4 linked regions of the Drosophila melanogaster genome follow. Changing the gene in region 2 together with the main gene of any one other region gives a genetic interaction. Each region holds a gene or a part of one and is shown on either strand. Other genes may lie near its edges.

The links.
Region 1: of mael (region 2) and Klc, changing one enhances a phenotype caused by changing the other (phenotypic enhancement), as found in Drosophila melanogaster (one study listed by BioGRID).
Region 3: of mael (region 2) and loqs, changing one suppresses a phenotype caused by changing the other (phenotypic suppression), as found in Drosophila melanogaster (one study listed by BioGRID).
Region 4: of mael (region 2) and Dcr-1, changing one suppresses a phenotype caused by changing the other (phenotypic suppression), as found in Drosophila melanogaster (one study listed by BioGRID).

Annotation. Positions count from the first base shown.
Region 1 is NT_037436.4:12,746,090-12,751,864, reverse strand, and holds Klc (kinesin light chain), read left to right. Parts: upstream 1-1,808; 5' UTR 1,809-1,902; intron 1,903-2,025; exon of another isoform or gene 2,026-2,155; intron 2,156-2,966; exon of another isoform or gene 2,967-3,058; intron 3,059-3,182; 5' UTR 3,183-3,207; coding exon 3,208-3,809; intron 3,810-3,923; coding exon 3,924-4,044; intron 4,045-4,110; coding exon 4,111-4,590; intron 4,591-4,661; coding exon 4,662-4,967; intron 4,968-5,034; coding exon 5,035-5,052; 3' UTR 5,053-5,249; downstream 5,250-5,775. Other genes in the region: CG10984 (uncharacterized protein), read right to left, coding at 1-558, 1,010-1,063, 1,126-1,258; CG32109 (uncharacterized protein), read right to left, coding at 5,387-5,568, 5,629-5,775. UniProt on the Drosophila melanogaster protein: Kinesin is a microtubule-associated force-producing protein that may play a role in organelle transport. The light chain may function in coupling of cargo to the heavy chain or in the modulation of its ATPase activity.
Region 2 is NT_037436.4:22,722,472-22,726,735, reverse strand, and holds mael (maelstrom), read right to left. Parts: upstream 2,504-4,264; 5' UTR 2,171-2,503; coding exon 2,051-2,170; intron 2,006-2,050; coding exon 1,807-2,005; intron 1,751-1,806; coding exon 1,194-1,750; intron 1,132-1,193; coding exon 619-1,131; 3' UTR 502-618; downstream 1-501. Other genes in the region: CG14450 (uncharacterized protein), read left to right, coding at 1-192. UniProt on the Drosophila melanogaster protein: Involved both in the piRNA and miRNA metabolic processes. As a component of the meiotic nuage, plays a central role during oogenesis by repressing transposable elements and preventing their mobilization, which is essential for the germline integrity.
Region 3 is NT_033779.5:13,380,996-13,386,176, reverse strand, and holds loqs (loquacious), read right to left. Parts: upstream 3,526-5,181; 5' UTR 3,390-3,525; intron 3,282-3,389; 5' UTR 3,238-3,281; coding exon 2,513-3,237; intron 2,441-2,512; coding exon 2,155-2,440; coding exon of another isoform or gene 2,086-2,154; exon of another isoform or gene 2,012-2,085; intron 1,651-2,011; coding exon of another isoform or gene 1,521-1,650; coding exon 1,383-1,520; intron 1,356-1,382; exon of another isoform or gene 1,194-1,355; coding exon 945-1,193; 3' UTR 506-944; downstream 1-505. Other genes in the region: Ing5 (inhibitor of growth family member 5), read left to right, coding at 1-78, 141-242; beta'COP (coat protein (coatomer) beta'), read right to left, coding at 3,996-5,181.
Region 4 is NT_033777.3:22,735,066-22,742,750, forward strand, and holds the start of Dcr-1 (Dicer-1), read right to left. Parts: upstream 6,027-7,685; 5' UTR 5,966-6,026; coding exon 3,332-5,965; intron 3,280-3,331; coding exon 1,671-3,279; intron 1,614-1,670; coding exon 1-1,613. Other genes in the region: CG6985 (uncharacterized protein), read left to right, coding at 6,252-7,031, 7,090-7,685. UniProt on the Drosophila melanogaster protein: Endoribonuclease which functions in microRNA- (miRNA) gene silencing and, independently of its ribonuclease III activity, also acts in the short interfering RNA- (siRNA) gene silencing pathway.

The sequences.
Region 1 (5,775 bases), about 10 Mb from region 2:
CCTTGCCAGTTCGAAGCACATTGCCCTCAGTGTCGATTGAGCAGTTCTGCTGCGGAATCACAATTTTTAATGGCGGCACTTTGAGTCCTCCGTTGTATAGGCTGTCGTTACTCTTGTAATCATCGCTGCACTCCGTTTCGTTCTCAATATCTACATTCTTACTAGTCTCCGCCGGCTCCTTTTCGGCATTGGAAGCGCTGCTTTTGTTTCCTGACGGGGATCCCTTCGTTGCAGCTAGCTTGGAGCTTTTCTCCACGCGCGATGTGAGCTTCAGGGAGGCCCCCTTCACGTCCTTTCCATGCTCCGAATCCTTGCGCTTCTTTTTCTTTACGTCCTCGCCAGATTCCTCGTAGTCCTCCTCTATGTCTGAGTAGCAGCGCTTGGCAGCCGAAGTTCCCTGATGATTCGTATCGCTGGATTTACCATCGTTGCTGCTCTCCTCCGCTGAAGATTTGTCTTTCGTGTCCAGGACCTCTTGCTTCTCATTCAGGCTGCCCTCGTCAGTCTCTGCGTCTCCTTTCTTGCATTCATTCTTCTTTAAGGTGGTGCGGGATGAATCTGCAAGAACGAGAATCTTATACATTACATTTGACGGCTGTGTGATTTAGTTTGGAAGATCATGTAGGAAGTAAAATGAAAGCTTATTGTCTATCGGATATCTTTTCGGGTGGAATTTGTAGTTATGTTTGAAGGAAAACCAACTAAAATGATTTTGTGTGAAAACTAAGAACTTAAGCATCGTTAAATGAGTTGTTTTTAATTTTGGTTTCTAAAGTATTAGCTCGGATAAGAGACAGGGTTTTTTTGACATCTTTACACATATTTCTTCAATAATAATTGGTATCTTCATTTGAATCAGTTAAATGACAATTTATCCGCAATCGAAACCAGTTTCTCGGATACTTTTACATTATTCCTGACTCTCAGATACATTTATGTATGTACATACGTAGATATGTACATGCATAGATGTATATGCGTGTAAGTATGTACGCAGCGAAGTACCCACGATGTAAATTGAAATTCAAGCCGACGAGCAAAAGTTCTAAGCTTTGTGACTGAACTATAAAATCCACTTGAATCATGTGAAAAGTAGACATTCACTTAATTATTTTGCTTATTTACCTGTCGACGAGTTGGCTGTCATTTGGATGAGCAGAGCCATTTGCTGCCTCTCCGACATTGGCGTGTTTGAGTTCGATCTGGGTTGGGTAGCTCCTGTATTAAATCCTATCCCCTTCGGTCTTGGGGGTGGCATACTCTTTTGTTCAGTTTTAGACGGTAAAAATTAAAATATAGAACAAAAACGGAGACTTGAAAAAGTCTTGCAAAATTTATTACAAAAAGAATAGTGCGACCGTATCGTGAATACAAAAATATGCCAGCTTGCTAATATAATAACGATGTTTTCAAATCCATTAAGTTAACAACAAATTAATTTATATATTATGTGTACAAATTTCAAGATACACCTTTAATTAGTTCCAAAAATTAAATTTTTTATTGAACTAAATCAATACCTGCTCCACCAAGGTATGTGCGTTTGTTGACCTCCAACATGTTATAGATGCTTACAAATAGCATGTTGCGCATTATTACTTTTAACTACTACTTTATTTATACTACATCTTAGCTATTATACGAAGTCTTATTGTTAGTCTACCCGATTTTTTCAGGAATTTTCATTTCTTTAGTTAGTGTTTCGATTCCACTGCGTTCTCCTCCCGACAGTGTGACCACTACTGCACAGTTGAAGAAAATCCTAGCTTGTCAAACACAATTCAACGCCCCGGCTACGGTCACACTCAGTTTTATTTTAGAAGTTTTGCAGTGTAAGATATTTTTATAGCAAATCTACGCACTATTTCGCTTATTTGAGGAGTTTGCAGAGCAAAACCGCTGGTAATAAGTTACAATATTTGAATGCACTGCGCGATAACTTGCATAATCATTTCCAACTGGATTTCGAACGACAAAATCCATTCACCCACACACAAACACATCTACTTGAGCTTATCTGTGTATGTACATATGTTGCACATAAATATAAGTGACTGCCACTTGAAGAAAAGTTTTTTACTGGAAAATATGATTCGTTTTACATAAATAATCAAGTCTAGTTGGAAAAGTGCTCGGCGGCAGCTCGTGTGGCAAAGTAAACACAAATGGAGGCCTAAGGCCTAAGTAATCGTTTAGCATGATAAATACTAAATACAATCTCTTAATGCCACTAACTTTTATGTTTAAGTGTTCATAGATATTATGTACAAAAAGTGACTCACTTTTTAATACACTGGAATTAGTGAGCTGGGGTGTTGTAACCCCATTTGCAATATTTATAATCTGACTATTCCAATCACAATATTTGGCGATCTTGATTAAGAATAAAGCTATTTTCTCGAAAATCAACTTACAATCTCATTTTACGCAATCTAGATTTCCGATTCGAAAGGCAAATGACTAAAGAAAACTATAATTTTGAATATGTTAGGGTACTAATAGCTTCGGTCTCTAAAAAACTATACAATTTATTTTAGTTGATGTAAGCAGCTACTTTTGCCATTCGTTTTTTGTTTATTGCATGACGCCAAGTGTAATTAACTTTCGCCCATAATTATAACCATAATAAACGAACTAAATGGCCTTAAACACTTTTTAACGAAGTGTCATGTTTATGTAAATCACACCGGCAATGTTGATAAATAATAAATAAAAGAAAGTTTTCAAAGCACAGTATTCGATATAAATCGAATATGCTTCCACCATTAGTTTCCAATTAGAAAACATAATTGAATGAACTGGAATTTGTTTGGCTTAAAAGTAAATTGAAGTTAACTTAATCCAGAAAGTTGATCCCTTACTTTTAATAGTTTCTGTAGTTTCTAAAAGTTATTGTTACAGCGAATGTAATAGCGCGGGCATTTTCGATTATCAACCACCTTTTTTAACGTGCATGCGCACTGCGAATTTTCTTTTTCATCGTATTGATTAACGCAGCTAGAATCGTTTAATATACGGTTAAAATGATTGTCTCCAAAGCTATCAAATCATACAGGATGTAAAACACATCAAATACCTCGATTAACACCTTTTAATTTTGATATCATTCATGTTGTTACACTTTCAGATGTCAGAGGGTTGTAGGAGCACTTACTAATCTGTATTTTGTATGTGTTTTGTAGACAGAAAATTGAGAAAATCGGCAAAATGACGCAAATGTCGCAGGACGAAATCATAACCAATACGAAAACAGTCCTTCAAGGCCTCGAAGCCTTGCGAGTGGAGCATGTTTCGATTATGAACGGAATCGCCGAGGTGCAGAAGGACAATGAAAAGTCGGACATGCTGCGAAAGAACATCGAGAACATCGAACTGGGCCTCAGCGAGGCCCAGGTGATGATGGCCCTGACATCCCATCTGCAGAACATCGAGGCCGAGAAGCACAAGCTTAAGACACAGGTGCGCCGCCTCCACCAGGAGAACGCCTGGCTTCGCGACGAGCTGGCCAACACTCAGCAAAAGTTCCAGGCATCCGAGCAGCTGGTGGCCCAACTAGAGGAGGAGAAGAAGCACCTGGAGTTCATGGCGTCCGTGAAGAAGTACGACGAGAATCAGGAGCAGGACGACGCTTGCGACAAGTCCCGCACCGATCCCGTGGTCGAGCTATTCCCGGACGAGGAAAACGAGGACAGACACAACATGTCGCCCACTCCGCCCAGCCAGTTCGCCAACCAGACTTCCGGCTACGAGATTCCAGCGCGTCTCCGTACTCTGCACAACCTGGTCATTCAGTATGCATCGCAGGGAAGGTAAGTCATCATCCATGCATTTTATTTTACTCGTGAGCACTAAAGAAACCCCTTACCTACAACATCGTTATCTATCAATTCATCATTAACTATAATAGCCTAATATATTTCTAGATACGAGGTAGCCGTTCCCCTCTGCAAGCAAGCATTGGAAGATCTCGAAAGGACAAGTGGTCACGACCATCCCGATGTAGCAACCATGCTGAACATTTTGGCTCTCGTGTACCGCGATCAGGTGCGTCTACGCTTTGATTAACTTAATTTATACAATCGTTAATTAACAACATCTCGTGCCATACAGAACAAGTATAAGGAGGCCGCCAATTTACTCAACGACGCTCTGTCGATTCGAGGAAAGACACTGGGCGAGAACCATCCAGCCGTGGCGGCCACGTTGAACAACTTGGCCGTCCTCTATGGCAAACGTGGCAAGTACAAAGATGCCGAGCCACTGTGCAAGCGTGCCTTGGAGATCCGAGAGAAAGTCCTGGGAAAGGATCATCCCGATGTTGCCAAGCAACTTAACAATCTCGCCCTGCTCTGCCAGAATCAGGGCAAATACGACGAGGTTGAGAAGTACTACCAGCGAGCTCTCGACATCTACGAATCAAAGTTGGGTCCCGATGATCCCAACGTGGCCAAGACAAAGAATAATCTGGCCGGCTGCTATCTGAAGCAAGGTAGATACACCGAAGCTGAAATCCTCTATAAGCAGGTCTTGACGCGAGCCCACGAACGTGAGTTTGGAGCCATCGACAGCAAAAACAAGCCCATTTGGCAGGTAATGTTGTGTTGTTGTGCTGTTATGCCTGGTAAATACTCAAAAGTTCCTTTTCTTACTACAATTTTCAGGTGGCTGAGGAGCGTGAGGAGCACAAATTCGATAACAGGGAGAACACTCCATATGGCGAGTACGGCGGTTGGCATAAGGCCGCTAAAGTGGATTCGCCCACGGTCACAACCACTCTAAAAAATCTGGGAGCACTTTACCGACGTCAAGGCATGTTTGAAGCGGCCGAAACCCTGGAAGACTGTGCAATGCGGAGTAAAAAAGAAGCCTACGATCTAGCTAAACAAACGAAGCTCTCACAATTGCTAACGTCAAACGAAAAGCGACGATCGAAGGCAATTAAAGAGGATTTGGATTTCTCTGAGGAGGTGAGTTTCAAAATCGAATCACTTAACTTAATTAACTTAAATTAATCATTCCCATTTATTCTTGCAGAAGAATGCGAAACCATAAAAATATTATTTGTTCATCGCCCACAACGGAATCTTTAAGTTTATGATTGAAAGCTAACAGCAAACACACACTTTATTTATTCATTCCTTAATATACATAAGCTCTCAAGCATACATTAGCAAATAAACAACGTTTTATACCTTGTTATTTCAAAAAATATGTACCGCTTTTAATAATAAACCAAATATATTTAACATAATCCTGTTTGTATTTAAACCTTCAAAACTAAACCAAAAATACGGACCAGATATAGCACATTACAGTGGAATCAGCTTAACATTTATTATTGATAACAAACAGTACGATTAGTTTGCCTACGATAACTGAGTATCAGTTAGTCGCTATCATTGTCATTTAAAATCGAGGAAACTATGCCTGCAAACTGCTCAGCCCGATCCAGAAATTGTTCCCGAGTGAGACTCGTATCGTTACGTAGATTTTGCGCCGTGAGGAGTAAGTTTTCAAAGTCCTTCAGCTGACTATCCAGCTCGTCGGCACTGATTTCCTCCTTGTGATCTGCAAATCAATAGGACGAAATGGATTATTGGTTTCTCAACTCAAATCCTGGGCACTAACCAGAACCAAACTTGACATTGGACCAAACTACGTTTTTCAAACCCTCCACAACTTCCTCGTAGTCCTTTTCAGCTTCATCTGGGTCACTCTCAACATTGCTTCTCAATGTTATGATGTCAAAAAGGAAATTCGTTTTCTCCTTAATTT
Region 2 (4,264 bases):
CACAAACAGATCGACTTTCCCGCTGACCTACGCCTCGAATTCTCACAACAAGAGCGCTACCAGCGCGAGCTTCTAGGCCAGGCACTTCTCCTCAGCTTAGCCTTTACTCGTCTCGTGCTTCAGCAAGATCCGCAAAGCATTGCATCTGTATCTCGCAACTCTAAAAACTCCTCTCCAAGTCGAGCCACTTAAAAAGCTACAAGTGTAAGAATATGAACTCGACTCTTTTTGGCCTTTGCACTTTGTATTATAATGACCCGTTGAACAATTTTATGCACAATATTTAACAGGGGTTTTAATAGGAGCAGTTTCTAATGGCACAACTGCATTTCCATGGAATACCATAAACATAGATTATTTTGAGCTTGGCCCCACTTAGCTAATTAGAATTTGTCGCCATCAAAAATATCATGTCTTTCTTTCATTACTGCCCACATATTAGGTCTTAAAAATATTTATTTAGCAGAACTAAAATAAATAAATACTTGATGCTGGCCCTGTCCGTTTGAACGAATTTATTTTTAAATACAAGTAATAGTATTTGTACAGTTTAATGCGATAAGAAAATTATCTATAAGGAATCATTGTTTCTTAGTCCAATTGATAGACCAAAGTGGCTTATTTTTTAAGTTTCCCATCAGCGCCGTTTACGGAGAAGTCGTTGTCTGAAACCTTCCGAATTAAACGCGAGTGCGTCGGTAAGTTCCTAGCGTTCCATTCCCGCTGAGCACTAGCGGCGATACCGTGATGCTTACTAGAATTACGCATGCCGAGGCTGGGGAATTCAGAAACTTCGTTTAAATTTGCGGCAAAGGAAGTGTGGTCTATGGGCTTGTAGGAGCTTGATGCGACGGAAAGTCGACTGCTAGAAAGCGAACAAGCTTCGGGTTGGCTTTCCTTCTTGACCCCAGATCCGGGAAGCGAATAAAAAGAGTCGAAGGAGGACTCGTGGTCGAGTGAGGAGGCGTACGAGCTTATGATAAGGTAGTTGGGTTTTGTTTGGGCAGGTATGTGCTTTCCGGGTTGGACGGTTATGGCCAGGTCTCCGCACATAAAATCAGTGAAGGTATACGCCCATCTAGTCACCATACTCTGGGTACAGTACTTGGTTCGATCATTATCCTCGTGGTACTGCAAAAGTAATCAGGAAGGAAGTCAACTAGGGGTTATCAGAATTGGGAACAGAATCTTACCTGACACGCAATCCCTGCGGTAAACTCGAAAAAGTCTTTCTTAAAAAAAGCATCCGTCGCGAATTTGTTGATTTTCTCGTCATTCAAATCAGCGACATTCATGACCTCCTTCTTCAATATGAATAGCAAGTACTGGATATCAAACACCTGGATTTTTTCGCCCCCGTCCCTGAAGTCATCATCGCACTCCAAATAGCGGAAGCATGACTTCACCATGGTAATATTTTCGGCGGGTGTAAAGACTACTAGGGTCTTGCCTTTTCCCTGGCATTTGGATAAGTAGTCAACAATGTTGCGGTACAGCTTGGTCATGTTCTTCTCCCCCAGCGCGTTGGGCGGCAGCGGCAGGTCGTGAGTGGTTGAAGAGTGAAGCAGGGCATCGCTACCTTGCCCAAAAATGATCTGACCGGGGTCAATCATGGTGCTGTAGATGGATCGGATTCCCTCCTTCAACGAATATTCGCATGCCGCAAACTCGGCGGGCACATAGACGTCGGTGGTCAAGGCTTTAGTGAAGTAGTTGAAGGCAACGAAGACAAACTTGGCATTCTCCAGATCTGCGGCAGCGATTGGAGTTAGTCGAATCCAAATGTCTTCGAAATGTGTGACTTACCATGGGACATCTTGGCGTTTAGCACGAGGCGCTCGATGGTACGTTTCATGTCCATCAAGCTCTCGGTGGCCTCCCTTTGGGCCTTGTCCACCTGGCCGTGGCCGTTGGAACTTTCCCTTTTGGCGCGTTGCGCCACATTTGCGTCCTTGCCGCCTGAGTTGTACGGACCACGCTGCTGGGTGTTCATTTTCTGAAAAGGCTTCATTTATTACAGGGTAGATCCGCAGCATCGACCAAAACTTACCTCCCATATGGTGCCGCAGTGGGAAACAGCCTGCGCCAGCGTCATGCGTCGGCCCTCGGCGTTCCGGTTTCTCCACTCGTTTACGAACATCATAAACCCACTATGCTTCTTAGGAGCCATCTTTACGGGCGTGGCAAGAAGAAGGTCGGTATTTTTGACGGGTAAGGGTAGGTGTTGAGCGCGTGTGCGAGCGAGGTAGCGACTAAAGGCGGTAACCAATGAACAGCACGAGCAATTTATATGAATGTTGTTTGTATGTACGTCTGACCCTACAGAAATGGTTACTTCGGAATGTCGCGGGTGGCTTCTCTTCTGGCTTCTCTCACGCACGATTGACTTCTCTTCCAATGATCTGGTCTGTGGAATATATCACACAATTCTAATGAAGTGAAGCAGTTGTTTTGTCAGACGTCGATTCCGCTGACACTTCAAATATCTATTATTGACTGTTTTGGCGTTGCTGAGCACTAGTATCATTCCAGAACTATCGATTCTGGAATGGAATAAGAGTTTGTAAATTTATAATTAATTTATATTTATAATATAATAATTTATATTTCATAAAAATGGTTTAATCAAACCTAATAGCATAATCATCTATCGTCATGCTTTGTAATCGTATGAATAAACTGCACTTGCAGTTAAAAGCAGCCTAATTAAAGATAATACTGCTTATTTATAAATCAAATGGTCGACCATCGAAAACTAAAAATTTTTTAAATCGAAATTCTCTTTCGTAAAACTACAGTGTAAACAGTTGAGTCGAAAAATTGTACATATGTATGTATATCCACCCACAAAGTCGATGTGCTTTAGGTCTATGAAAAATTCTTTCTTGGAAATGGTTTGTTTAATGGTAAAGTAATAATATTGTTTGTATGTATGAACGATTTGTCTGAATCGGTAAATTCATGCTGAATATGAAAATGGTTTGGTCATCACACCGTTTTTGGTTAAAATGTTGTTGTTAAAATGATAAGCATAATCATTTAGAAAGAACTTATTATACCCGTTAACCGTAGAGTAAAAGGGTATACTAGATTCGTTGAAATGTACATATGTAAAAGACAGAAGGAAGCGTTTCCGATATACAGTAAAATATATACATATATATAGTAAAATTAGTTGTTATATTTTTTATTTGAGTCGAATAAATGCCCCGTCAGTTGACTAAGGACAACGCTAAGAAATAAAAAATGATCGGAGAAATAGTTTTAACGTTTTAGTTTTTTTAAGAGTAAAAATCAAATGCAAATTGAATTGAGAGAACCCTCATTATTTGAACAATATTTGTATCTCGGGAGAGCCTCGCTCTTGGGTTCTTAAGATAAGGAGAAGGTTCAAAGAGAGCAGTCAAATCGGCTTATGTCAGGTTTTAGGATGTTTACAAGAACGGCTGAGTGCCGCTGCCAAAGAATTCTTTATTAGAAACGGATGCTGCGCAGCTGGGATACATTATGGAAAATCAATTAAGTGCAATACTGTTTTAATTGAAGTGGCCGGTTTGGACCACCCGAATACGTCACTATATGTATATATTCATGATCAGCATCAATAGCCGAGTCGATCTGGCTGTGTCCTTCTGTCCGTATGAACGCCGAGATCTCAGGAACTATTAAAGGTAGAAGGTTAAGATTAAGCATACAGATTTTAGAGACAAAGATGCAGCGCAAGTTTGTTAACCCATTTTGCCAAGCCCACTCTAGCGCTCACAAGCCGCATAAAACTGTCACGATCGCACTTTTAATAAATGTGTTGATATATCATCACATTTTTAATAGTCTAGAATTCGTCCAGTAAAAGTTATACTAGATTCTTTCAAAAGGTACAAGCAATTAAGATTAAGATCTCTTGGGCCGCCTGTCTCTCAGTAAGAAATGTCTAGAATTCAGGAAGTAGAAGGTGGATATAAAGTATTCTGCTCTTAATTTTTGTTTAGGAGCAAGAGGGCGGAGAACTCTACAGCCATCAGCTGTTTTTACGCATCCAGTGACAACCGACAAGTGCATCTGTGCACATTTTACAATAGAAAGGTCGCATATTTTTATTTATTTTATAAATATTAACTTTTAACTATGTATGTTTGTATTATTTTTACAAAATATATTTTTAAATATGTATTTTCTCATTTTGTTAAATTTATGTTTTAAATTACAAAACTAATAATTATAGTTCTAGATAGCAACTTTATTTATAAGTTGAAATATTGATGAA
Region 3 (5,181 bases), on a different chromosome or scaffold from region 2:
GTCGATCCCAATGAGCCCACATATTGCCTATGCCACCAGGTGTCCTATGGAGAGATGATTGGCTGCGACAATCCCGACGTGAGTATTCGATTTTGATGTACTCTGTGGTCAGTTCTAGATCTTTCACTCTACCATTTTAGTGTCCCATCGAGTGGTTTCACTTCGCTTGTGTTGGCCTCACCACAAAGCCAAAGGGCAAGTGGTTCTGTCCCAAGTGTACGCAGGACAGAAAGAAGAAATAGATGCAATCCTTTATGATTACTTAGAATACTACTTTAGATTAAGCACAAAATTACCTATTTAAATAAAGCCACGGCTACTATAACTTCAGTATTATATTTGTCAATTTATTTCCTAACTAATTTGTAGTTAAATAATTCCATATCATAAAAGATGTTTTCACAGAATATTTCTAAAGTTGGATTGATTAATTTCAATTCATCAATGCCCTTTAATTCGGAGTTTACAAAGTTTTTCAGCCCAAGGAAAAGAAAACTGCAAAAGTAGCGATTACCAAATACCGATTATATTCATAAGCCTTTTTCCTTCGCAAACTAGCACGTAGTCTACCTTAAACCTAGTTTTATCTGCCGTTTTACGTTTTTCAGAATTTGAAAGCGACTAGAAGATTCCAATATCGATTACACGCTTGTCTGTATTTGCAAGCGTACATACATTCATCGGTAAGTGTAGTACATATATGAACATTTACATATGCAGTTAACAAATACAACTGCCTAATCAAAGGAATCGGTGGAAAAGAAACAAAATATATATATATATATATGTAACATCGCCACTGCATTGAGCCAAAAAGTGGAAAGAAAAGCAATTAGACTGGTGCATTAGTTATCCCGTATCCACTCGGTAATCGCTCTCATCAAATACTCGTGATCGTGGTCGTGGTGTGCGTTCAGATTTTGCTATTCAGTTGGCTGCACCCCCTACTTCTTGGTCATGATCTTCAAGTACTCGAGGGCATTCTGGGCGGCATGCCGCTGGGCATCGGCAGCTGTTGGTCCGCTGCCGTGGCAAACGCCAACGGGCAGCGTGGACAGTTGAACCAGGCACTGGAACTGGCCAGAGAAGGTCTTCTCCTCTATGTCCACATAGGTCACCTCGAACTGGTTCTCCGTGGCGATTTCGCCCAGCAGCTTGATGTAATCAATCTTGTTGTTCTTCAAGCAAGTCTTCTGAAAAAAATACAAATGGAGTCGAATTAGCAGAGTCAAATTAAACTTTGAACTTTCAAGCAAGAACACTATTATTATAAGGATTGTGAGGGGTTAAGGCAAATATGTACTTTCGAAAGCAGGTTTTGAATGTTGGAAATATGTTTGTGATCGTTTTTGAATAAAAAGCGTTATTGGATTGAAATTTACCTGTAACTTAAGCAGTTTTTTGCCCGTTGCATTTTTTAGGGTCTTATGGAACTGGGATACTTTGTTACTGTGCTGCGTGGTCAGTGTCGGCACAGAGATATCTTTCAATTCACCATAATAATTTTCACTACTGCGGGGCTGTAAATAAGAGCGCAAAGTTTTTGGTTTCTTTTCTCCATTGCATTTCGCACACATTTGAAATCACACACGCCAATGGTGAGTTGAAACATATCACTTTTGTGTGGAAAAGGTGCTTTACAGATTCGTTCTTTAAAACAATCACCATGCCAAGGAACAATATGAAAAATGAAAAATGAAATAAGCCAATATAAACCATAAATAAAACCAGAAATATAAATAAGGTGTAAGCATTATGTTAATTATATGTATAATTATGTCAAAAACATTAGTTATAAAAACAAGGACAATAAAAAATATCAGATAGCACACTATAAAAGGGATGCTATAGTACTAAAACTCTAGCTAGATACATAATTTAAAAGATTATAGGGATATTTACAACTGAGGATTACTCTAAACGTTCTACATTACATTTGAGAAGGGATAGAGGACAAACGTATTAAATAATATATAACATTTATGACATATATTTGATAAAATCAATTTTTAAAATTTTATAAACTAAAGCATGGGACTGCATTCAAAATAATTGCACTAAAAATATTAGAAAATTGCTTGTGGGTTAGATCTTGATGAACTCAAAATCTTTAGAGACTTGCTCGTAACGATCGATGTCTTGAATGATACTCACTTCGCCCTCCAACTCGCCGCAGATGCTGTCGCTGATTTTGCCCGAATCGATGGGAGTCTCCTGCAGACGCATCCACATGCGGTGGGCGGCCAAGCGCTTGGCTATCTTCTTGCTTTTGCCCTTGCCCATCTCGCGGTAGTTGAGTATCGAGCAGGCGATCGTAAAGAGCCGCTCGTGGGGAAGACCCACTTCCGTTTCCGTTTCGTACGACGGCGGTGGCCATCGCCGTTGCATGCACATTTCCTGCAACCAGCCAATCGGATTACCAACGGTCTTGTCGCTGGCACTGCAAGGACATAATACAATAAATTGGATATCTTAGAATCATATCTTAGACATCAATAGAATAAAAACTCACTCTCCTCCGCCTGTGGCATTGGCATTGCCGTCTCCTCCGCTTCCGGCGACCGTGAGCCCAGTCACCGACGGACCAGCGGAGCTGCTAGGCGATTCCGGCAGCTGCGCGCCGATCAGCTTGTCGATGAGCGCACGGGCCGCCGCATGCTTGGCCTCCTTCTTCGATCGTCCTGCCCCCATGGCCGTGAAGGGCGTATCCTTGTCTTTAAAGGACACGCGAAACCGGAAGGTCGGCTCATGTATGGCGCCCTCGATCTGGACAAGTTCATAGCCGGGAGTAATTCCTCGTCGGCTTAGCAGCTCTTGCAGAATGCTGACGGGCGTCTTCATGGCCAGTCCATTGGCGTCCGTTTCGCTGACGAACTTTAAGGCCTCGTCGCTGGGCAATATTACGCCCATAAGGCCGACTCCACCTTGTAAGCCCGATCCGCCCGCCAAGGCAGGATCACCAACATCTGACAGCTGCAGCTGACCTGGCTGAGACAGCTGCGCAACCTGGGCGGATATCTTCTCCTTCTTGAGCTTCACATGGCGCTGCCCCAGCGGAGCACCCTTCACCGGACTACCACTGACGGCATTTCCATTGCCCAGGCCGACAAGGTTATTATAGTGCCGCCGTGGAGCAAATCCCGTCTGGACAGGATTGGGGGACGCCTGCTGCGGCTGGATGTGGAGGTTCTGTAGCTGCTGCGGCAAGCTGGAGCCGTGGAAATTCTCCTGGTCCATGGTGTTCTTGTTTTGCACGGTTTTCGGGAGGATTCGGTGTGTATCTGTTTAAAATTTCGGGGTAATTGTTGTTTGAAAAATCGATACATCACCGACGAATAGCGGGCGAAAAGTCCAGTTGACACTCTCGCCGAAATTCGGGGAGTACTCACGTTTGAATCGCGGTTTTAACTGTTTTTTATTTAATAATAATTTATTAATGGTTAGTTAATAATTCATTCTTAAATAAAAAATACAGCAAAATCCAGACGCACACACGAATTGTATGTATTTTACTGATATTTGTGGTTGCCAGACTTTTTTTGGATTGCCTACTTATTACACCCCCTACTCGTAGAGTAAATATGTTGAAATAAATGTATGTAACAGGTACAGAACATTTTTTTGTACAAATATATAATAAAATAGACCATGAATACTAATTTAACTCAAAAAAAAAAAAGAACAAAAATAATTTTTAATTTCTCCTGGCATGATCGTAAGTTTGTTTAAAAGTTTTATCGATAAGATATCAGAATGTAATCGAAATAGTTGAAGTGAGCGCCATATTTGAAATTGTTGTATAAGTATTTATTGCAGTGTTTGCTCCATTACTGTTGTACATATTATTAATAGATATATATTTAAACAACATTCAATCAAATCAAATGTGAATGCATGCGCGGAATTCTGTGGCTCGAAATGCACGAAATGTGGGACTCCCGTAGCAGTAAACGATAGTTTAAATGGTATTCTAGATCTGGCTGTGATCTTCCGTCCTAATCGTCGCTTAGAAAATCGTCATCGAGGTTCACATCTGTCGTATCAATGTTATCATCCAACGTAATTCCATCTATTTCCAAGTCCAGGTCGTCGTCGTCATCCGCAGCGGATGTAGGCTCGGCCACCTGGCTGCTAGAAACAACAGCTTGAGCGGGAACGTAAGCTGGCTTCACCTTCTCCTCCAAATGCTGGCCGGCGGCACCCTGCTCGGCGGCAAATAGTTCTTGCAGAGGATGACGTTCGCTATTCAGTGGTAGATTCGCAGCGAGGCGTGCCGGCGCCTTACGAGCTCGCTCCTCCTGCAAATGCTGCTCCACCCGCAGCGCATCGCCCAGGCCAGGGAAGAGATTTGTATACTGTGCCGGATCGGCCAGCGACTGTCCCGCCTTTTCGTTGACCTTTCCAAGCTTCTCCCGCCAAAGCTCTACGATCCTTGACATCTGGCTGGGCAGGTAGGTGCGGGCAAAGAACGCTGCCTCTGGCAACCGATTTGTCTCAATGAGAATCTCCAAGCAGCGTTCCACGTCTGAACGAAGGAACGCCGAGAGGAAAGCTAGATTGTGATGTCCCTGGGCCGAGCCAGCCGCACCCACCACCTCGAGCAGCTGGGCATCGCCGGAAGCTGTTGAGAGCAGCAATAGACCGCTTAAGTCGTTTGCCTTCTGCATGCACTCTTTAACCAGAGACATGTTGTTCTTGCTAGACGCCACATCTGCCAGCTGTGACCACTTCTGGGAGTTCTCCGACTCACGGGCCAGCTTTAAGGCGATTTCCAAATCTCCGATCTGTAAGGCCAAGTCAAACTTATGGTCGGCATCGGTAGAGACTTGCAGGGCCTGCGACTTAAAGCCCTGTTTCTCCAGAAAATGTGCCACCCTAGTGCGGTGCTCCTTGGGAATGGTCGGTAGCACAACGTCTGCGCGCTCAAAGTCTCTTCGCATAACCGCCGTCTGGTACTCCAGCACGGACAGCTGCAGACAGAAACTGATCACGTTCAACTCCTTATCGCCGAGGTAAATACGATTGTCCTTGGGCACGTAGCCCAGCAGATACATTGTGCGGTCTAAGTGGGATACTGTCACAATCTCGCCGCCCACGTAGTAGTTGATGCGGTTCACCGAGTTGGTATAGATGAAGCAGTCTCCCACCCAAAGTCCTGTTTTGACGCACTCCGAAACCTCG
Region 4 (7,685 bases), on a different chromosome or scaffold from region 2:
ACCGGGTATTCGTTGCTCCTGGTTACCCCCGTCCAACTGCCTTGTGATAGGGAGCACTCTCACGCCCAGCCAGGCCATAAAGAGTAAAGCCCCTCGGGGTCCGCACTCAATGAGATAGGCTCCAATGAGGGCTTCGACGCAATCGGCAATAGACTTATCCGGAATGCTGTGTTGCGAAACAAGGTTGTAGGGAATAAAACAGCTAAAATCATTGCAGCTATCATTGGAGTCGTCAAGTTGTCCATTTTGGGCACCCCCATTCTGCTCCAAGCCCAGGGCATCGGCTTTTTCGCGAACCATCTCGCAGATTTGCACACTGCTTAGGTTCTTAATGTCTAGCAGATCGGCCAGCTTCCAATGGTGAGTGGGGATCTTCGCCTCGATGAGCGCCTTCTCTAGCTCCTTTGGCACGTAGTAGCAGGGTGGCAGCCAATTGTCGTGCGGCTCGAATTTAGTGGCTATCATATATTCACCCAGTCTCTTACGTCTGCCCAGACGATAGAGATTGAGATTGGCAACCTGCTTGGAGCGCAGGTGACTTAGTTTTCCCTCGTGCACATTCTCGTAGGTGATGTACAAGTAGGTGGTAATGGCATACTTTAGAAAGGAATCTCCAATTGTCTCCAGTCGCTCCAGATTGATGCCATCGTTAGCATTGGACATTGTGAGGGCTTGCAAAATGATGCTGGGACTGGGTCCTGGATGGCCCACTAGATCCGGTTGTCGATCGAAACTGAAGCCAGCTGGTAATATGGCTGAGGTTATGGCCTTCGTGGAAGTAGGTGGCTCAATTTCAATTCGTTCGTATTGCAGTTTCAGTTGCTTTTCATCCAAGTTCAGCCGATGATGATCGTTATAGTTGTCAAAACTATCTCCGCATCCCATTACATTGTAGGTCTCCTGCTCATGTCGCGCTACCCAATCTGCATTTAGCTCTACCAAATCCGACAGCAGAAGCTCGCGCCTATCACCCAGCTTTTTGGCCAGCACATCTTCATTTACATACGGCAGCAGCTGCTTCAATAGCTCCATCATCGATACCTTTGCAACCTGAGCCTCAGCGGCATCACTTCTTTTTAGAACCAACTGCTGGTCGTGCGGCACCAACATGCCGCCGGATTCTATTTCCGTTTTGAGCTTAGCTATGGATTCTTCATATCTTATAGTGGCAGGTTCCTTCTGGTCCTCATGCTTAAAATTGAATCCAATGAGCAGGTTCTTTGTCTGCTGATACTGCCGCTCGTTAGCATTGGTCGCCTGGATGATGGACAGCTGCTTCTGGCGCTTTTCCACTTCCTGTGCGGTTTCAATAGTCTCCGCTTCATTCTTGGAGGTGAACGCAATGCGTCCCGCATCGATATCATCTGCCACATCGTCGTCATCCGAACTGTAGTTGTGATGCATGTAATTGAGCGGACCTGCGTTATCGTCGTCATCGTAGCTGGAACCCAGCGAATTGTCCGAGTCATAATAGTTAAATGTGGGCTTTGCCGGACCCTTTGCTTTGCCCTTGCCACCCTGCTTATTCTGACTGCTCTTTGGACCCTTGAAGCCGCTTTCGCCATTGCTCACATCCCAAAATGTGGGCGAACCGTAGCGCGTTTGCTGATCACCTGTAAGATGTATTAGGGATTATTTCTGATCCTTAGCAAGGGATTTAAATAACTTACAGAACTTAACGTTTGCCGGTAAAACTGGGAGATGGAAGGCGTCATCCTCGTCGTCGTCTTCTTGGTTAAAACTAGCTATATCGTCGGCCATATCGTTTGACCAAGTGCCTATCTCAATGAAGTCATCAGCCTCTTGCAGCTTCTCCTCTCCCTCAATGATTAGTTCAATAGCACTTTTCTCAACCTTATCGTCTTTTGAATCCTTATCTAGTTGGGTCTCCTCGCTAGTCGGTTTCTTTTCAACATCAGCTAAGTCTTTGCCATTAATAGTATCATCCTTAAGGGACTCCTTTTGTTTGGACTCCCGCGATTTCTTGAGCACCTCCGATAGACTCCACCCAAAGTCCAGCATGGGCCACTCGAAATCCTCATCTTCGATCTGTTGCCTTCCCAGCCCCAGATCCGCAGAAACCTGTTTCCGAATATCGTCGGCCAATAGAAGACCATTTATGCGGTACAGGATGCAGGGCAGGCACACGGCAGTTCGCCACAAGGAGGCGGGGAATGGATGCACAGTGCAGAGCTCTGGCACAAGGATCTGCTTCTGTTCGAGATTCTCGCGCTTTGCCCGCTTTGTCTCCTCCGAACTAGTGGGCAGAGCAACGCCCTTGCGATTAACGTATCGTGGCGTGAGGAAGTTTAACCGCGCACTGGTGTGATCCACGTCCAATAGCGGCTGCGAGGTATTCTGTATGGTCAGACCATACTTGACGAGGTAGTAGTGCTTGAACGTGCGGTAGTTGTCACCAGGGAAGCAGCTGAGTGGGGATAGATGTGGACATATCTCCGCCACATAGAAATACTGCGGTTGATCCTGGTTGCGATACCACGGCATAACGACGGCATCCTGGAAGCGTTGCGGATCAAACGGCTGCGCCTGGCGCTCCTCATCGGGCACTGCCCGTGGCATTGTATTTCCATTCGCTTGGATCAGCTCCAGAAACTGCCAGTCGATGTGCTTGCCGCCAGCTGGTGCCTTCACGGTGGGCACAATGAATACACAATTTTCCGTGGAGTCCGGATCGAAGAGCATCAGAAACTTTTGCAAACGCAGTACATTGGTGAACGTGTAGTTTAAAAATCCGTTGATGCAGACTATTTGTTCGCTAGTTAGAATCACGCGTTCCTTAGCTAACTCCAGGGAAACCTTCACCTCACCGGAACGCGTGAATATCGAGAAAGCACTCAGCTTGGGTATCCGTTTGGTGGTTAGAATGCCGAATCCCTGCTGCGCATCTTCGGGCGGATAAATCTTGCGTCCCCGCGTGTTTTGCTCTTCGGGAATCGGACATTGGAGCGTCAGTTGGATAAAGTACAAATAGCATGGCGCTCCGGCAACGGGACGGCAATCGCAAAATTCGGATGCAATGCGTTTGTAATAGTACTGACGACGCTTCGTTGTTCCCGGACGTGGTTCATCGCTTAGCTGCACAATCTGTTCGTCCTCTGGCTCCAGTTCAAAGCACTCCCAGTCCGGCTCCAGGGCACGAAATCCCTCCTTGCCGATAGGCTGCAACTGATCGTCTAACTCACCGATCCTGTGCAGTTCCACGCAAGCCTGCAAGGCAGCCAGTCGGCGGGCCAATGTTTGAGTTGGCATCGGAAGACCCTAAAGAAGAGTATTTAACAAATCTTAAATAATTCGTATTACAAGTACTTACCACAATGTCATGCTTCAATGGCGAGTTGATGGGCAGACGGAGTGTGTACTGAAACAGGGTCACTCCAGCCCTTTCGTTTCGGGTGCAGCGCCACAACGCCGTCAACTTGGTGAACGTGTCGCTTGGCAGTCGGGCGCAGTACTTGTTGACCAAAGCTATAGCAGAACCCAGATCCACGGAGGCGCCTGTTAGCAGGTGCGGCTTGGGTCGGTATGCGGCCAGGCAGGCACTAAAACGTTCCGCCTCACTCTGCTCCTGCTCCGGCGGCTCTGTGTTGGCGCACTTGGATAGCAGCATCTGCTCGATTTCGCGATACTGTGCCATTTGATGCACCAAGTCCTTCGTGGTGCTGGCTAAACTATGAGCAGTATCGATTTCGGCTGTAGTATCACTTGTGTCTTCTGGCTCCGTTAAAGAGCTCAGCTCGCACTGGAAGCGTCTGGATTTTTGTTCTGTACTGCTCTCGCTTGGAGACGTGTTACTCATGCTGACGGCTTCGTCGCTGGAGTTGCTCGTATCCAGCTGCGCTGCGGCTGGCAATTCGTCCTGGATCTCCTGCAGCTTAATGTCGCACGCTGTCGGTGGTTGTTTACTGAACACTTCGGGGTTGAGGATCTTCACGGTTCCGCGTGCCGTGCCAAAAGTATAGGGATCCGAGCCGGACGAGTTTGGCATCGCTGAATCATCAGAGTCGCTGTCCGCCTCTGTAGTATCACCAGTCGCGCAAATATACCGATGACTCCGATCGGTCAGCTGCACTGACCCCACAGTTGGGCTTTTATAACTCGGAGCGACGAGAATGACATGATAGGCTGGAGCAGCACGGGCTCGACCTTTGCACTGAACGTAACTGCGATATGTGGTTGGCGGATCCCAGCGCACAACCAAATTGCACTTGGGCACATCGATGCCCTCTTCCAGCACCGAAGTACCGATCAGGACATTGCAGTCATGCATGCGGAAGCGCTTTAGCACCTCTTCCTGCCGCCGGTGCTCCAACTCAGCCTCTTTGGGCTCCGTGGTGGGATCTGCCACCCGGTCCGTGGTGTACTGGCAGCGTAGGAACTTGAGATCGGGATCACGTCTGCTAATCTCCGCTAGAAGCTCAAAGAGCACGCGAGCCGTGTGGTTCTGGTTGCAGTAAATCAGTGCGCAGAGCGTGTCGCTGCCATCATTGTGATCCCGGTGGTGGCGCCTGGTGTACACACGTCTACGAGTTCGTGGTTGTGCAGTGTTGGCACCAGAGCTAGGTTTCGGCTTCGCATGAGCGGGAGTAGGAGTAGGAGTCACCCGAGCGGCGCTTCTGTTCGTCTGCCTGTCCTCTGTCGTGTGCAGAATCTGCTCAAGAGTGGCCACCAGGGCTCGTGTCTCCGTCGGCGGTTGGTCCATTTGATCCACCATTCGGCACTTGCTTTCCAGCGTATGAGATAACCGATTGAAGTCCGCCTGATCCACCTGATGCCGCATTCTGCGCAGTCCGTCCGCTTGGGTGTGCACCTCTTCCGGCTTGAAGCACCTCAGTGTCTGCAACAGACGTCGCACCTTGGGGCTGGAATAGCGTTCGATGGTCTGGCGTGAATCGCTGCCACTTCCTAAATGTCGATGGAATGCGTGTTCGCAGAGGGAGTACAGTTGGATAAGGGCCGTGCTCACTAGGCAGTACAGCAAGTAGTGACGTTCGTGCGGCGTCTTCACCTTTAACTTCTCATTGCATTGGTAAAAGTGATGTGCAGCCCGCTGCGTGCACCAAGGACCCATCTCGTGCAGCACGACCAGTAGTGAGTTGATGACGTTCAGGGGGTCCACCTTGGGATCGGGTATGTCTTTCAGTTCGTCCATAAACTGGTCTGTGCCGTAGATTTCGTAGGGATCGTAGCGGTGGTCCAATAAAAAGGACTTGTGTGTGTTGAGCACATCGGCAAGCACCAGGGACAGTTCGTCCATCTCGAAGGGGGCGCACTGTACGATGTATTCGTGCGGTCGGGAACAGTAACGCAACACGGTGACAATATCACTGGCCGTCTCGATCTGGCAAAGCACACTCTGCTCCAGGGTGGCCAGCATGGCGCTCAGTTGCTGCAGCTCACATCCGGCGCTGTGCAGCGGTCCAGCGAGTCCGAGAATCCGTGGCCTGTCCGCCGGTGGCGCTGGCATAATGTGATTCTCGAACAGAGGCCTTATCCTCTGATAAACGGCGCTGTCATGACAATCTTCCAGCACGATCAGTTCGACGCTGCTCAGCAGCAGCTCGCGAGTTTCGAGCAGATAAAGAAATCCCTCTGGCCGTAGGATGGAAACGTGATAGTCCGTCCAGCAATGATCAAAGGGAATTTGCATATCCGGCTGCTCCTGCCACACCCGCAGGTCAGTCAAGTGGGTGAGCATCGTGTAGATGGAGCATGGTTCCGTGCTGGTGCCAACCTCGCAACTGAGATAGACACTGACACGACCATGTCGGCGTGCTCGACGCGACAGCTCCTGGAGCAGCTTGAGGGCTATAAACTCCTTGGAACTTCGATGGCCCAGGCAAATAATCGTGTTCCGCTCGTAGGCGGTGGCCAGTAGCTCCACCTGAAAGTCGCGCGGCGTGAACACGGTGGTGTGCAGATTGTTGTCGCACCAGTGGAACGCCATCGTGGCTGAGGGGATTCACAAAAACACCACTGCCTCTGCGAGATTTCTATCAGAAAATCATCCAGAGCCGGCTACCAGCAGAATGCCAGTGTGACCAGGGTTCGGAATACCTTTCGAGGTTCACTTCATTGGCCACACTTACAAGTGGCTTGAAAATAGATTGCGCCTTGTATATTTATATTTTGTTGATAGCAAAAGTTTTTAAATTAACTTATGTATTTACGGTGAACTATACCCGGTAATCCTCTTCTTTAGCACCATAAAGCGGCGTTCCAAAGCTCCTTCCATGCGCCGCGCTGCAAAGCGAGAGAGCGAAGCGGCGCCTCCCAAAGAGGAACCACAGTCACCCTGCTCCTGGCCCAAAAACAATCTACCCAGCGAATGGGGCACCTCAGGGGGCACCCAAAGCCTGGGACCTCGAGAATTCAGGGCGGGCGAGAATCCCCTCAAAGATAGCCGCATCTTCCATGTGCTCTGGCGTAATCAGACCACCAAAAAGCACAAAACGTGGACTGGCAACGGAACGCTGGTGGTCACGGGATCCATAGTAACATTGAAGGATGACACCGGCAAGGTTGTGGACACCATGACATACTTTAAGCAGCGGCAACTTCAGGAGAACGATCAGCTGGAAGTAGGCAGCAAGGATGTCGAGATTCAGGAGGAGATTAAAACCGTCGAGGAGTGCCTTATTCAGCGCCAGTTGGAAATAGCCAACTGGTGCCAAAAAATAGATGCCCAGAATGGTTGTACAGACACATCGCCACCACCTGCTGACAGTGCACCCGTTAGGTCTCATCTGCTCAAGAAGATCAAGCGCGAGGCAGATGCCTTTGCTCCACCGCATTTGGAAATTAGCCAACATAGAGAAGATAAACATGTCTCCTATGCAGCCGCCGATTCCAGCACTTCGATGGGAAAGAAAATCTATGAACAAAACACTTTGAAGATAGAAAACCCTACCAAGGAGTTCACCCAATCGGAATATCTGTGTCTATTAACTCCAGCTGAACTGCAGAAAAAAATATTACTCTTTGTTTCTGAATATGCACAAACATCTAAAACAGTAAGATAGATTTAGACCAATTTACATGCATAAACAAATCAAAAAACTTGTATTTCAGGAATCGTCTACGTTGAAGGAAATCTTCCAAATTGTATGTGATCATCCTGTGCTCCTAAAAACTTTGGGTACGAATCCAGTGTTTAAGGAAATAATGGAGGTACTGGACGCCATACTGCCGCCTTGGCCAAGCATGGGACTTTACGACTCCGCCAAGTTCGAGTTTCTACACGTAATGCTGGATCACTTAGTGGCGGAGCGAGGCGAGAAGTGCTGCATCTTGGCAAACAGTGAGGATTGCCTCACCCTGGTCAGGGGATACTGTCAGAGTTATAGTTTGGACCATGCGCAGCTAGATGGTCCCCAAAAAGTGAACTTATTTAATTCTCTTGCCGATGGAGAACCAATGATTGGCTTGATTTTGACCAGTGACTTGTCGGCGCTTCGAGCTCTTCGCTGCAAACACCTAATTATTTATAATCACAATTCCAGGCAGCAAGCCAACCAACTGCTGGCCGTTGGAGCAATGGATACCAAAATATATACTCTCATCACAGCCGGAGGTTCTCCGGAGGAGTTGCAGTTCTATGGGCATATGGGTGATGATTCTATAGAAGATCTTCAGAATTGCCGCAGCCAGCTTATACCGACCGCATC